3 linked regions of the Caenorhabditis elegans genome follow. The protein of the gene in region 1 purifies or fractionates together with the protein of each later gene. This does not show direct contact. Each region holds a gene or a part of one and is shown on either strand. Other genes may lie near its edges.

Region 1 (5,523 bases):
TTTTGTTGAAAAAAGTGTTGATCCAACCCAATTCAATTCGATTTCCGGTGCCCCCTTGGAATAATTTTGGATACAAAGCTTTCAACTCTTCTGTTCTGTTCTCTATTTCCCTATTTTGCTCGCCGTCTTCTCCTCCTCCACCCGTCCGGCTTCTCCTCTTCTTGGACATTTTATCGATTTTGTTCTTCTTCGGTGTTGTGTCTCTCTCTCTCTCCCCCCCCCCTTTTCGATGTGTGGGCCAACACAACAATCCCCACATTTCTGCGTCTCGTGTTCTCACCCTCATCCGGTTGTGTCTGCGTCTATGGCTTGTAGGTTCTCGAACTTTCAGTTCTAGATGTCCTAGACTTCAATTTTGAAGGTCTCAACTGGATATTATTACAGTTCGGAAGTCTTGAATAATACTAGATCCAACCCAGATGTCCTCAGATGTTATTTGATCTCTCCAGTCTCTCGCCGTCGCTCCCTTCTCTCAGTCCATTTTGGACGCTCATTTCGACCGCCATCCCGTTTGGGGTTAACCGCGGAGAGAGTGAGTGAGAAAGGGAATGAGCGCTCAAATTCACTCTCACTCACACTCACACGCAGCAGCATCATCTCGTAGACCCTCTCTGGTTGTTGCTGTCTCTGATGACAAACATTCCCTAACTGGGCGCCCCTGTGTTCGTCGTTGCCACGTGTCATTCTATGTCGGCGATTCGGCCATTTGAAGCTCGATCCACGTGTCGCTAGGACAGCTGACGTCATCTTTTCAACTATTATGTTTACTGCGATTATACGAATCAATTGGTGAAATTATTTAGAATAACCTATTTTTTGAGTTGTTTACGATTTTGAAGTCACTTGACTGAAAACTTTCACAGAAAAGGTCTTAAATGAAATGAAACTCTTGCGTAGACTTGATGAAGTTCTGTGAAACTCCTACGTACTCTTGAATAGTAATCGAAAATTATTGATTTCTACTTCCAATCTACTCAAAAGTTAAAAAATATTTCGCAACACATCTTTTCCCCATTCTTTTCTGTATTTTTTAGCAATTTACCTTAAAATCTTCAATAATTCCAGCCTACGATGCAGTCGTCGCTTCGGAAATTGTCGAACACGTCGCCGATCTTCCCGGATTCATTGGCTGCCTCGCTGAGCTGGCTCGCCCCGGTGCCCCGCTCTTCATCACAACTATCAACAGAACGTGGCTGAGCAAATTGGCAGCTATTTGGCTTGCAGAGGTTTGATTTTTTTCTTTCTTTTTTTTTTGGAAATAAATTTGAAAATTTTCAGAATGTACTCAAAATCGTGCCGCCCGGAGTCCACGACTGGGAAAAATTCATCACACCCGCCGAGCTCACTTCACATCTCGAAAAAGCGGGTTGCCGGGTGACGGCGGTGCATGGATTAATGTTTCATCCGGTTGGAAATCACTGGACATGGATCGAATCGACTCAGTGTAATTACGGAATTTTGGCAGTGAAGAATTAGATTTGAAGATTTTTTGTTTAGTGTTGCTAGTTTTTTTTTCATGTTTCCATATGTTACTGGTGCTATTTTTTTTAATTTTCAAAAAAAAAAATAATTTGAGACCTAACTCTTTTAAATGTCAAACAATTGGGTTTGATCTACCCGCAAAATATCTGATTTTCAACAACTTTATTCTCTGCGTCTCTCCCTCCCTCCCTCTCACTCTCTTTCTTCAGTTTTTATAATTATTTTCTTGAATTCTAAAATTTCCTTTTTGAAATTCAACTTTTCTTTCAGTTTCTCTTTCCCCGCAATTTTCCAAATCACAATCCGATCAATTTTCAGGAGTTCCAACCAATTCCCCGAAAAACTCGCTCGAAATGGATGAGGAATACGATGCCATCGTTCTCGGAACCGGCCTCAAGGAGTGCATCATCTCGGGAATGCTGTCGGTTTCCGGAAAGAAGGTTCTCCACATTGACCGAAACAACTATTATGGAGGAGAGTCAGCTTCACTGACTCCACTTGAGCAACTCTACGAGAAATTCCACGGTCCACAAGCCAAGCCACAACAGGAGATGGGACGTGGACGTGACTGGAACGTCGACTTGATTCCAAAGTTTTTGATGGCCAACGGGCCATTGGTCAAGCTTCTCATCCATACTGGAGTCACTCGCTACTTGGAATTCAAGTCGATTGAGGCCTCGTTCGTTGTGAAGGGTGGAAAGATCTACAAGGTGCCGGCCGATGAGATGGAGGCTCTTGCCACTTCCCTTATGGGAATGTTCGAGAAACGTCGCTTCAAGAAGTTCCTCGTCTGGGTGCAACAATTCGATGAGAACAAGGAGGACACTTGGCAAGGACTTGACCCACACAACAGCACAATGCAGCAGGTTTACGAGAAGTTTGGCCTTGACGAGAACACCGCCGATTTCACCGGACACGCGCTGGCCCTCTACCGTGACGATGAGCACAAGAATCAACCATACGCTCCAGCTGTTGAGAAGATCCGATTGTACTCTGACTCATTGGCTCGTTATGGAAAGTCACCATACTTGTACCCATTGTACGGATTGGGAGAACTTCCACAGGGATTCGCTCGTCTCTCGGCCATCTACGGAGGAACCTACATGCTCGACAAGCCAGTCGACGAGATTGTGATGGAGAATGGAAAGGCTATTGGAGTCAAGTGTGGAGATGAGATTGTCCGTGGAAAGCAGATCTACTGCGATCCCTCATACGCCAAGGATCGTGTCAAGAAGACTGGACAAGTTGTCCGAGCCATTTGTTTGTTGAACCATCCAATTCCAAATACAAATGATGCTCAATCCTGCCAGATTATCATTCCACAAAAGCAAGTTGGAAGACATTATGGTAAATTTATAGTCTTGGAAAAGCAGCGCGTCGCACAGAAAAGAGGTAGGGCGTAATTTTGCAATCTTGCGGCACGGGTTTTTCCTACTTTTTTTGTTAATGTTTGAATGAAAATATTATCGAATTTAATTATCCGAAGACTAAAATAGTCTCACGATCCTATGAGAATTAGGTAAAATTGAAACTTTATTGAAAAATAAATTAAAAGGAGGAAAAACCGAGCCGCCGGTTTGCCAATTTACTCTCCGCCTCTTTTTCTGTGCGACTCGCTGCTTTTTGCAAAACTCACGCTTTCAGCATCACTAATTCCCTTTTTTTCAGACATCTACATCTCATGCTGCTCCAACACGAACATGGTGACACCAAAGGGATGGTATTTGGCAATGGTCTCCACCACTGTCGAGACAGCCAATCCAGAGGCTGAAGTTCTTCCAGGACTTCAACTTCTTGGCGCAATTGCCGAGAAGTTCATTCAGATTTCCGATGTTTATGAGCCATCTGACTTGGGATCTGAGTCACAGATCTTCATCTCTCAATCTTATGATGCTACGACTCACTTTGAAACCACTTGCAAGGTAATTTAAAGAATTTAAAACAATTTTTGAAAGAAATTATAATTATTCATTTTTCAGGACGTGCTCAACATGTTCGAACGTGGAACGACCAAAGAATTCGACTTCACCAACATCACTCACTTGTCGTTGAATGATCAGGAATAATTGAATATCCATTCCCTTCTTTTGAGTACTCTGATTTGACGCTTCTGATGCTGCTTTTGCTCTTTTTTGTCGCCTCTATAAAAAAAACGATTCCCGTTCCGTTTGTTTCTCCTGTCCAATGTTCATTTTCAACCGATTTTAATTTATTGTATTTTCTCTTTTCCAGTCTCTATCCTCATGTGATTCCCCGAGAACCCTTTTTTTAAATTTCAATTTTCGTCCCGAAAACAAAATTTCTTCCCACTATTTCCTTTGTATTTAACTTTACAATTCCCAAACAAAGTCCGCTTCGTAAATCTATAAATCACTTTATCCTTTTGAAGTACTTCATTACAGAAATACAATTATTATCACGATCAGAAAGTTTGGATAGGATGGGATTACATTTGATGAAGGGAGATCATTTCCATTTGAAAATTGGAGAAGAATAAGCATATATGTTTTTACATAATTGATTAAAGAAAAAATCCCAGTTTAAGCCATCACAAGCAGAGCATCGAGCTGATCATCGACACGTTGCATCATCTTTTTGTACAAATCCTCCATATTCTCGAGCAATGCCATTTTCAGTCCGAATTGTAGAGACTCGTCTTTAGCGAGAAGAGCACGTGTGACGACCGCATATGTTTCACAATCGTTGCGAAAAGCCTGAAAAATAGAAAATTTGACTCAAATTAGTCAATGAGTAACTTGAAAACTTACCGATTCGAGTTGCTTCTTCTTAATATGGAAACGCATCATTTGCTCATCGTTGAGCTTCGCAAGCTTCAACTCCCTCACCATCGCCTTCTCCTCGTCCGCCGAGTCATCTTCAGTGGCTAGTGATGAGAGACGGAGAGTAGAGAATCCAGCTGAAATTATATATTGTTTTTCGAAAAAGCCCCCGCCGGTTGTCAATGGTTACCTTCGTCTTCTTCCTTTCTCGCTGGCGGCTCATACTTGACAGTGGAGAGGAGAGCAGATTGGAAGGCTTTGAGATGACCAAAGAGTCTGGAAAACATTGATTTTTTGAGGGAAATATTAAAAATTAGAGAATAAATATTAGTTTTTCAGGGAATTTCGAAATTCATACTTATTCGTGTTGGGGTGCATTGTAATGTCGGGCATACTTGAACCACCACTGATAGCAGACCCATTCATAGCAACTGGGTGAGCAGCGGCAGAAGCAGAAGCAGCAGCAGCTGAAACCACTGGAGCCGGCAGAGAAGAAGGCATAACTATTTCGATTCTGCCAATTTGACGGGGCACAAACGCAGGTTGGGGCGTGGTCGGTGGTGGTTGTGGTGGACTAAAACGGATTACACAAACGTGAAAATTTGCCCCGCGGGGAATATGGTACCGGGTCTCGACACGAAAAATTTTTGTTAAATACTTACAAACAGGTGCGCACCTTTAAAGAGTACTGTAGCTTCTAAATTTCCTAGCAGTGCTTTCAATTGTTTTTCTCACGATTTGTTAAAATAAAAAATGATTTTCAACAAAAAATCGACAAATATTTCAGTACACTTTAAAGGCGCATACCTGTTTGTATTTATCAAAAAAAAAAACTGTCGCTTGGAGACCACGAACCGTATTTTTGGAGCAAAACTCTCAAAAAATTTGGCGTCTGGGTAATGAACTTACGCTGTAGGGAGTTGTGGTGGTATTGGTTGCTGTTGTTGCTGTTGTTGCTGAATAGGTGTAGTGGTATAATAAGAATTGACTTGAACTGGCGGTTGAGCAGGTTGTGGGGCTGAAAATTCAAAAATTGACACTAAATAGATATCGAAAAATTTCAAGAAAAGCTTTTATGGCGGTTCCAAAAATTTCGAAAAAATGGGCCAATTTTAACTAAACCCTGAATTTTCGGCAATTTTCCCTGGTCGCAGCGGTTATAAATTCATTTTTTTGTTCGATTATTGTTTTATTTTACAGATAAAAATCTATTTCCGGCCGTTGTGACTCTTGAAAATCGGCGAAATTTCAGATTTGAGTT
Region 2 (5,062 bases), on another chromosome or scaffold:
TTGACTAACCATGGAATACCAAAACGAACTTCAGTGTTAGTATGATATCTACTTCCTTCTCGAATGTTGGAAACATTTCTAACACTGCGATTCAGCATAAATGTTTTCAGATTCTTGGGAGCAATGCACGTGATATCTGTAATGACTAGTATATTTTTATCATTCCTGCTGATGCCCAAAAATTGGTCTCAAAGCGAAAACTTTCTCTTTTACGTCTTGACTCACAAAAACAAAATTGAATTAATTAGTGTTCAGCCTCATGCAAAGTCTGGTATCTCAACTTTATTCCAACTCACTTGTAACTTTAATAATCTTGACATGCGCTTCAATTATGGTACTGTCATCAATTACATAGTCACTTTCCAGTTCCTCCCAACTGATAAATTTGTGCCAACCTCTCCCTTTCAGCTCTACAAATGTGTGCACTTGATTCCTTGCCAAACTTGTTCCATAAGGTGATACCAACTTCAATGTAAACTCAGTTTCGACGGTCAATTTTCTGGTTTCACATTGTTCTTTGTCACATTGCAAATATAATACCAGATAACCATTGTGCCTCCATATTCTAATTCTCCTGTAATACATTGATTATATTCAAAGAATCTTTAAACCTTTAAATCAACTAACCATGGAATATTAAATCGTTCTTCCACATCAGTGAAGTATTGTTCTCCATTCAGAAATTGGGAGATATTTCGGACAGTTTGGCTGATTGCAAACTCTTTGCAAGAAGTAGACATTTTTCTTTGCAAAATTGAAATGGATGAAAAATCGAAGTGGATTTTTTTTCCACGCTAGCATTTGTTGTTTTTTTAAAACACGCTGGATTTTTTTTAGAAACGTCACGTTTGTTGAAATATGCCGTGCATATTATAAAATGGATTACTTTGTATGAATTTAATTTAATATTTGAATAATCAATTTTTAAGCCTAATAAATGAATAATAATTTTCTCGAATAAAACACTGGTCATGAAAAAGTGCAGCAATTTACAGAATTTGTGAGCGACTTGGAAAGGTACAGTTTTAATTTTATTAAAATTTATTCACATGAGAATTTCCACCGAGTAATTGTGTCCTCCAATAGTGATCACATAATAAAAGAGAGCTCTTCGCTTAAATCATCTACATCCTCACATCCAGTCATCTCCACAATGTTCGCGCAAACTTCAATAATGATACTGTCGTTCACCAGAAATCTCTCCTCCATATCCTTCCACCTGATTATCTTATCCCAGCCGCAATCCGTATTATTTGTATAAGTGTGTTTTGTGTTGTATAATAATCTCTGGCCATCCACGGACATCAATTTCAGCGTGTATTTAACTCCAATGGACCAATTATTGATTCTAGACGTTTTTTTATAGCATCGTAAGAATAGTTTGAAAAATCCATCCTTTCTTTTAATCACGAGACACCTTAAAAATATGATTGTTAAAGTAGAGTTCTCTCTTCTTATTGACTAACCATGGAATACCAAAACGAACTTCAGTGTTAGTAAGATATTTATTTCCTTCTCGAATGTTGGAAACATTTCTAACAGTTTGATTTAGCATAAATGTTTTCAGATTCTTGGGAGCAATGCACGGGACATCTGGAATAAGTAGTATCGTTTGGGTCTCTAAAGTAACTTTTTTTCAACTTACTTGAAATTTTAATAATCTTGACATACGCTTCAATTATAACACTGTCATCAACCATATAGTCATTTTCCAGTTCCTCCCAACTGATGAATTTGTGCCAACCTCCCATTTTCAGCTCTTTGAATGTGTGCACCTTATTCCTGGTCAAACTTCTCCCATAAGGCGACACCAACTTCAACGTGAACTCTGTTTCGACAGAAAACTTCCTGGTTTCACATTCTTCTTTGTCACATTGCAAATAAAATACCAAATCACCATTGAGCTTGCATATTCTCATTCTCCTGTAACACGTTAGTTATATTCAAAGAATCTTTAAATCTTTAAATCAACTAACCATGGAATATTAAATCGTTCTTCCACATCAGTGAAGTATTGCTCTCCATTCAGAAATTTGGAGATGTTCCGGATAGTTTGGCTGATTGCAAACTCTTTGAAGGAAGTAGACATTTTTCTTTGAGAAATTGAAATTGATGAAAAATCGAAGTGGATTTTATTTCCACGTTGTTGTCCACATTTGTTGTTTTTTTTAAACTTCACGTTATGTATTTAATTAATTTATATAAATAAGTTGATGGGTTTTTATTTGGAGCTTCCTTGTTCAGGACGTGCTTCCGACACCTCACCGCTAGAATGGCAAAATTGATATGGCAAAATTGATCGATTTGGTTTCTGATAAAATTTCAATAACTTTCTCCGTCTAATGTTCATTCATTCAATTTACGATCGATGAGAAAAAAAATGGGGATACAAATTATATTAGCAATATAAAACCTAGGGAGCAAGCCAGTATACAATAGAAAAAATTAAACACCAAAAAGTTGTAAAATATAATTTTTTAACAGAAAAGACTAAAATGTTGTGTACTTTCACTAATTTCTTGAGCAAGCACAACGTCACTTATGGCGAAATGGAGATTTATCCAGATCAGCAAACAAGTAGAAGTTCTGGCTTCTTGGATCCACGGAAGCCCATACTTCAACTCCATCGTTGCGACAAAGTGCCAAGTCTTTAATCAAAAATCCATCTTGGTAGATATCGGAAGAGCGAGACGTCCGGTACTCGATACCTTTCAGCAAAACTTCTTTGTAGTTCTCAAGGTTGTCCTCTGCCAGTGCAATATGAGCTTCTGCCAATCTAGGATTCGACCCATTGATGAGATGTCTGAGAAACAGATTCAAATCAGATAAAGAGAATGGGTGCTCGATTTTCAGATCTAAAGATCCTGAGCGTTGCATGAGAGCAGATCGTCAAGTCCGATGACACATTCTGCAGTAAACTCCAGGCGATCCAAGTTCTCGGAGACTAGAGCCCTGAACTGCTCACCAAGGAGAGCTCTGTCGGCAATGCTGATATTCATGGCGTCACGGTAGTAGAGATCGAACATCGTTGGGTTGTTCTCTCCCATCACGAGCTTCCACAACTTGATTCCTTTCAGCTCGTCATAGATCACATCTTCATCCATAACAAACAACATATCAATTTCCAGAAGATCCAGAGCGACGAGCAAATTCTCAACGCAACGTCTCATCGAAAAGCTTTCATTGAGCAATATCCAATTCGTAAAGTGCTCCTCAACGTCGTCTGAAGGAGGAATGAATAAGAACCTGCAGCATCCATTGGCAGACCAAACAATGATACCCATAAGGTGATCCAGAACTACGCACACATTTCCTGCTTCGATGTTCAGAAGCTTTACGGATGTTGGAGAGATCAGGGAGAAACTCATTCTGTAATTTATTATTTTAGTAAACATAGAAAATATATAAGTTAAACTCAAAAATCCGCGAATTTAAAATTCTGAAGAGTAGAACGAAGGGCCTTCGCTGGAAGACGGAGGATGGGGAAAGACGGAGCAGACATGGCTGGGAGAATAATGAAGAATGAATGGGGAGATATAGAATGGGATGGCTTGGTATCGATTCTTCAGATTTGCACTCCCGGGATGATGATCACGGTTAATAGTGGGAAAAGGTTTAGGTGAGAACCTTGCAAAATGACTATTTTGAAGGTTCTCACCTGAACGTTTTCACACTATGGGGTAACAGGTGAGAACGTCCCACTAGGAAGTGTCAATCAATTGGGTGAAAATGTCTCAAAATCGATACGAAAAAAAAAACCGATTATTGCAGTGATTAATATGAAAATACCTGATCGCTCTTTGTAAAATCTGAAACTCAGAGAAAAAATTTGTTCAAAAAAGTTACATTTTGAACGTTACTAGGAAGATAAAACAAACGCGTAATAAAAGCCGCCCATCTCTGATGTGGACCTCAGAAATTTAGGAACTTTCCGGAGTGAATCTTCAAAACTGGGGGCAATATTTTCTAATCAGACCTAGGGAAAATCTAGTCGTATGCTATTAGATCATCACCTGTCATGATAAGATCCGTATCACGGATAGATCACCTTATCTTGTTGGTTTTCTTATCAAGAAGCTTGTCTAGTCTTCCGAAAGATGGACTATGTTGATCTTCATGTGATCCTGTATCAACTGATCTGTCTGGTTCAATTTGTTTCTAGTCTTATCATATCGCTTCGCTAGACTTGGAAACATTTGAGTAACTGGATTTTCGATTCCGAGGATAATAAGTACACATTTTGCCATTTAGCTTCACAGTCGCTATGAACTTCTATTTTATATCCGTGTGTTCTATTATTTCATCCTTGGCGGTTTTAACAGAAAGTTGTATGCGAATGGTTCCACGAAAGGACGTATATATTTCGAGCACATTAGCTCCGGAGGTGGACCCGCCTACCACATTGGCTCCAGAGACTGCTGCTCCTACTACACATGCTGAGACTGGCATGACTGAGGTATTTTGTTATACTTCGATTGAAGTAGATCTGATAGTGTTGCCAATAAACAGATGCTTGTAGGAAATGATGACAACGCCTGTAGTGGAAGTTTCAACTGTAACAGGTAAGCTATCAAAAGGGTATCACTTGAGATTATTTGGTTTCCAGAAAAAGTATGCCCAGGGATTTCAGCAGAATGTCCAGATCTGAAACTGCAATTCTACAGTGAGTCGGTTTTTTGTCTCCATTGTAACTAGTTCTTGTCCGGCAATTCCAGAGCACCCCCTCTTGAGCATATGTATACACATATACATATATATGTATAGGTTCCATTTTTCAAGCTGAACAGGTTTTATCAAAAACGTTCCTAAAGTGATAAGACTTAATTGACAAAATAGACAGAACAAGCGTTTCTTATCTAGTGATTGATAAGCCTCGGTATTCTTTGATCGGAAGTACAGTCGATATCTGTGCCTGGTCGGAACACTAGACAAGATTCTTGATAAGAAATACTTTGTGGTGATACGGGGCTTATCATGATAGGTGACGAGAAAGAGATCGGCAAAAATGCCACTGTAATACTAGCTATGACTAGACTACCCATGTTTAGACTAGGATACAATA
Region 3 (5,383 bases), on another chromosome or scaffold:
GCCATTGTTGTGTTTTGTTCCAATATTTTATCGACAAATAAAAGATTTCAGTAAATCGACACCAGTGCTACAGTAGTCATTCAAAGAGTTACTGTAGTTTTCGCTACGGGATGTTTTGAGCGTTAAATATGTTTCGCAATATACATTCCAAAAGTTAAGTGTTCACGTAATACGCTCATATTTACGTATGCTTCTTTTCAAAGTGTTATGCGAAAAAAATTCATAGCATAAAAAATTGTTATTTCGATTTGTACATTTTCACAGAAAAATTCAAATTTGGCAATATATAATTAATTAATCACATTCTGGAAAAAATGGCAGCATATCCCTTGATGGCAAGTGGGCAAGCGATGTCCGAGTAGAGACACATTGACAGGATTCCGAGGATGAAGATAATTCCGGCCTGAAAATTAAATTCAAAAACTGAAACAAAATTAGCAGTCTACAAGTTACTTAGTTTAGAAAAGATGCAATTTTGGGCCCGAAAACTTCATGGTTACCGTACCCGCAAGTTTCTCGCTTTTTAATGTTGCTTATATCAGTATTTCTTACAATTTGAGCTTCTTTCCAAATTTTCCAGTGATTGCAAAAAACATTGAACAGAAAGATGCAAATATGCGGTAGGAAGACTTGTGGGTACGGTAACTGGGATCTTTCGGTCGCTTCGAGATAAAGTATTGTATGTCAAAAATTGCAAAATTTTGGAACCGGGTAATATTACAGGTATCTGATGAAAATGAGAATATTAACCTGAACACTATAGACAGCAATACTATCAATTGTGTAATATTCTGGGAGCTCTGGGAAATAACTCTGAAGCCAGATGAGCACAGGAAATCCAGGAATAATTGATGCAATTGAGACAATGATTAGAAGACCCGCAGCTATTATATGGTTCATCCCGCTTTTTGAAGAGATCTGAAAATCCGCATTTCCCGTTTTTACAGGAAAAATCAAAAATCAAATATTAGATGAGAATCCAACGAAGAAAAAAGATGAAAATACTTTTAGAAAAATCAATTCATACATTTATTCATAAAACACATAAAAGAACTATAGCACACTGAAAATATCTAAAACGAGCAATTGAGGGAATGTTCGACATATAATGTCAAAAACCAACACATTTATGATGATGGGTTTAGCGATTTGGACCGGAATAAAATATGGGTGATTTAAAATGCAGATGGCACCGTTTGAACAGAAAATTAGGCTAAAACAAGAAAATATTCTACTTTTCTACACGGTTTCGTTGTTACCTTGTATAATTTCTTATATCAAATACATATTCTAATAGTTAACACTCTTCTTGATTGCGTCGAAAACTCGATGAACAGTTGGCAGGTAGAATGGTTCGTGAACGTGTGGGAATGGTGTATCGAATCCAGCAACACGATCTATTGGAGATTCAAGGTTCAGGAAGCAACGTTTCTGTAATATTTTTGATTGTTAATTTATTATTTGAAAAAGGAAAGTAAAATATAAATTATTTACCTGAACAGTAGAAGCAATTTCAGCTCCAAAACCAGAAGAAATCGGAGCTTCATGAGTGACAATGAGTCGACCAGTTTTTTGAACACTCTGAAAAATAATTCATATTTAATCACTCAACATCCAAATATTACGCGAACACAAACAAAAAACGCAAAATATCTCGCAGCGAAAACTACAGTAGTTCTTTAAATGACTTCTGCAGCGCTTGTGTCGATTTACGGGCTAGATCATTGATTTATCGATAGAATATTAAAATCCAAACGGAGAAACGAACTAATCGCAAAAAATTAATTTCAAGAATCGAGCCCGTAAATCGACGCTTCAGTAGTCACTTAAAGAATTACTGTACTTTGCGTTACGAGATATTTTGCGCGTCAAATATGTTGCGCAATACGCATTCGCAGAATTTTGTAATAATTCACCTCTACTACATGATCCTCGTCCCAAGGTTGAATCGTCTGAAGATCAATAACTTCAACATCTGCATTGAGCTTCTCCTTGGCCAATTGAGCTGCTTCAAGAGCAACATGAACCTGTGTTCCCCAGGCAACAAGTGTCAAATCTTTTCCAGAACGAACAGTTTCAGCTTGTCCCAGTGGAATTGTGTAATCTCCAGTTGGAACATCTTCAGAAGCCAATCGATAAAGAATCTTTGGTTCGAAGAAAATACATGGATTCGGATCACGAATGCACGACAGAAGAAGTCCTTTGGCTTGAACTGGCCCACGTGGAACAACAAGCTTTAATCCTGGGGTATGGGTGAAGTTAGCTTCAGGACTCTGTGAATGGTATAGAGCTCCATGTCCTACGGCTCCCCATGTTGTTCTTACAGTCAGTTTTCCACAGTCAAATTGATTTCCCGAACGGTATCTGAACTTGGCTGCCTCGTTGACAAGCTGGAATAATTTTTTTTATTTCCATAATATTTATTCCGGATATTACCTGATCATAAGCTGGGAAGATGTAATCACCAAACTGAATCTCAGCAATGGCAGTTGCTCCAGCCGCTGCGACTCCAATTCCGAATCCAGCAATTCCCTGCTCACAAAGTGGAGTATTGAAGACTCGATCTTTTCCGAACTTCTTTTGAAGATCCAAACTACATCTGAAGACACCACCAAAAGCAACATCTTCACCAAAAAGAACAGCAGAATCATCTGTTTCCATTGCAATTCTCATCGCTTCATTAACAGACTGCATCAAATTCATTTTAGTCTTTTCAAGATTTTCAAGTCCTGCTGGAAGTGTGGTTGATGGTTGAAACGTGAAGTGAGCTTTTCCTCGAGTTTGGGAGATTCTGGATCCACATTTTGAGAAGAGGCTTACGGCTCGGGAACTCATCTGAAGATCGCAATAATTTTAAAATAAACTTTTATAGGATTTCCAAGTTAATTAATTTTTTCAATCAAAAGTTCACGCATTATTTGAAGATTAAAATAAAAGATAAATGAATCGGGCAAAACCGATATTTTTTCAAAATTAAAATAAATCATCTGAATTGTAATGAATTTATAACAAAACGACACCAAAAAATGGAGAAAACTTCAAATAATAGTCCCTTGTAATTTGAAAAAAATAATCAAATACAGAGAAAATTGGGACTACCGGTTAGTCGTGACAAACAAGAAATAATAATAGATAGCAGGGGAATCGGGAAAAAAGAAACACTGAAATTCAAAGCAAAAACAGAAAAAGAACAGGAAAAAAGGGGGAGCACCAGAAGTATACTCTTCAATCCTCATCAGAATCGAGGTTTTCAACGTCTTCGTCAATGTCGAACAAGTCCTCGTTGATGTCCATCTTTGCCATTCCTGCAATTTTTGAAATTAGTTTTTGAGATAGTGTGTCGGCTCGCCACAAGAGACCCAGACACAATAAAGAAAACGTTTTTTTTTTTGCAAAACGTGTGTCTGTGGGAAAGGGAGAAATTCAATTGATTTTTGCCGAAAGATAACAGATTTTGAAGTGACAGCCAAAATGATGTTTGAATTTTTTTGTGTTGATAAGAATGAAATGAGGATATTGACAGCCAGAGAAAAGCCACGTGTCAAAAATAGTTTTTTAACAGAAAAATTAGCCATTCAAATTTGACGAAAATTGTTTTTTATTTACGCACTGAAAAAAATTACCTTTAGCAGTAGATTCAACAGCAGTCGAGGATTTGCTCATTTGATCCGTCAGTTCATCGTCCATTCCGTCGAATTTGAAGAAGTTGGCATCGATTTCAAATACCTTTTCATTCTCCTGAAATTATTTAAATTTTTGTAAAATTAAAATAATTAATTTCAAAAACTAACATCAACTTCTTCCTTCTCCATCTCAATATCTCCGGCCTCGTCGTCGTCGTTGTTGACCAGATTGGCGTCATATAAGAAAAGATCACGTCCAGACATTCCATTCTAAAAAAAGAAAACATTAATTTATGTAAAGAGACGAGAAACAGAAATTAAAGTAGTAAATTTAAATAAAAATTCAAATTTCTTACATGTTTTCCAGATTTGATCTTCTCTTTCTTTTCTTTCAAATCGGCTTCTTCTTTCTCTTTTCGCTCTCTTAACTTCTTCTTCTTCCAGGCAATGAAGGTTTGGAGTGTTAATTTTGTGAGATTTTTCGAACTCAAAGCGGCTCTCTGGAAATGTTAAACTATAATTCTTACGAAAAATTGGAATAAAATTTAATTTATGTGGTCTTTCAAATTGAAATAACTTTTAACAATGTTTTTGCCACTATTTTCCCCTATAAGTATACCTCTTTCTCAACAAGTTCCTCAATACTAATTTCATCTTCTTTTTGTTGCTCCATTGCTTTCCGTTCCTTTTTCAAAACATATCCTTCTGGTAGACAATGCCGATATTGACATTTTTCTCCTCCATTCGGACATTCCCAAAACCAACCGTACTTGTTGTTCTCTACAGCTTCCAAGAAGTACTTGCAAACCTTAAAATTCAATTTTTTAAACTTAAAAATGTCTGTCATGAAACTGCTTACAATATCAATCATATGTTTATTTTTATTTTTCTTATTGACCACTTCATTCAATTTGTCCGAGTCCCAGTTCTCGTTTGTTTCTTCTGGAATGCTTAGAAATTACAAAAAAAAACGTTTAATTTGGTGCAAACCGTCTTTTTCGACTTCTCTGCTGTCTGCATACAGGTTCTTCTTCGCTGTCTTCTGAGCAACTGCCAAATCGTGACTGAATTTGCACTTTGCTCCTTTTCCGCAAAGACCTTGTTTGAAGAATACACAGAGAAGAGATTTTGGATCGACATCTGAAAAATTCACAACAGTTTAATTTTTTTCGATCTAAAAGTGGCAACCTTTTGCGACTTTTTGTTCCACAGGTTTCAAAAGATTGGCAATATCGAGAAGCTCGTCTTTTTCTTTTTTTTTAGCTGCTTCTTGTTGTCGGACAAGATCCATACGAGTATTGTTGTTACGGACTTGATTTTCAACTTGTGCCACAAACTTCTGGTTTTTATTTCCTTTCTTGTTTTTCAATCCGAACGTCTTGTCCTCGATAACTTTCTCCTTGCGCTTTTGCTCGGACTTTTTACTAGGCCCTTGTTGCTTCGGCGGCATGGTTGCAGATCTTAATTTAAAGGTTTGCATATTTATTTTTAAAAGTTTCAATCCTAAATTAGCATATAAAAAATGAAGAAGATTTGATAGGCATTTGGAAATAAAATAAAAAGTGGCAGAAAATATAATTTCACAATATTTCACAAAAAAAATCGATAATAACTTCAAAAAGGAGCTTAAAACAGGTTAAAAACGTGTTCAGTGATCGCTGAAAAAACATTGCATCGAGAAATGCGTCAATGAAACGGGAACTGCGCCAGTGATGTCTCGTTCGCGCATATTGTGATTTTATTCTCTTAACTTTTATTTT

What was found.
Region 2: the proteins of gdi-1 (region 1) and math-48 fractionate together in Caenorhabditis elegans (co-fractionation; one large-scale study listed by BioGRID). This does not show direct contact.
Region 3: the proteins of gdi-1 (region 1) and bckd-1B fractionate together in Caenorhabditis elegans (co-fractionation; one large-scale study listed by BioGRID). This does not show direct contact.

The regions. Positions count from the first base shown.
Region 1 is NC_003282.8:14,789,163-14,794,685, reverse strand, and holds gdi-1 (Rab GDP dissociation inhibitor), read left to right. Parts: upstream 1-1,835; coding exon 1,836-2,874; intron 2,875-3,150; coding exon 3,151-3,404; intron 3,405-3,461; coding exon 3,462-3,548; downstream 3,549-5,523. Other genes in the region: coq-3 (Ubiquinone biosynthesis O-methyltransferase, mitochondrial), read left to right, coding at 1,066-1,226, 1,279-1,476; melo-1 (RRM domain-containing protein), read right to left, coding at 4,023-4,196, 4,251-4,399, 4,453-4,538, 4,621-4,836, 5,172-5,280.
Region 2 is NC_003280.10:1,944,429-1,949,490, forward strand, and holds math-48 (MATH domain-containing protein), read right to left. Parts: upstream 2,100-5,062; 5' UTR 2,090-2,099; coding exon 1,977-2,089; intron 1,924-1,976; coding exon 1,646-1,923; intron 1,594-1,645; coding exon 1,467-1,593; intron 1,418-1,466; coding exon 1,090-1,417; 3' UTR 1,010-1,089; downstream 1-1,009. Other genes in the region: ZK250.14 (MATH domain-containing protein), read right to left, coding at 10-136, 297-574, 628-740; ZK250.2 (DUF281 domain-containing protein), read left to right, coding at 4,265-4,456, 4,520-4,562, 4,607-4,663.
Region 3 is NC_003279.8:7,724,719-7,730,101, reverse strand, and holds bckd-1B (2-oxoisovalerate dehydrogenase subunit beta, mitochondrial), read right to left. Parts: upstream 2,836-5,383; coding exon 2,437-2,835; intron 2,391-2,436; coding exon 1,917-2,390; intron 1,582-1,916; coding exon 1,495-1,581; intron 1,432-1,494; coding exon 1,291-1,431; 3' UTR 1,010-1,290; downstream 1-1,009. Other genes in the region: F27D4.8 (Chromate transporter), read right to left, coding at 299-403, 751-900; F27D4.4 (Zinc finger CCCH domain-containing protein 15 homolog), read right to left, coding at 3,226-3,305, 3,624-3,738, 3,792-3,893, 3,980-4,123, 4,243-4,431, 4,483-4,565, 4,614-4,763, 4,812-5,073.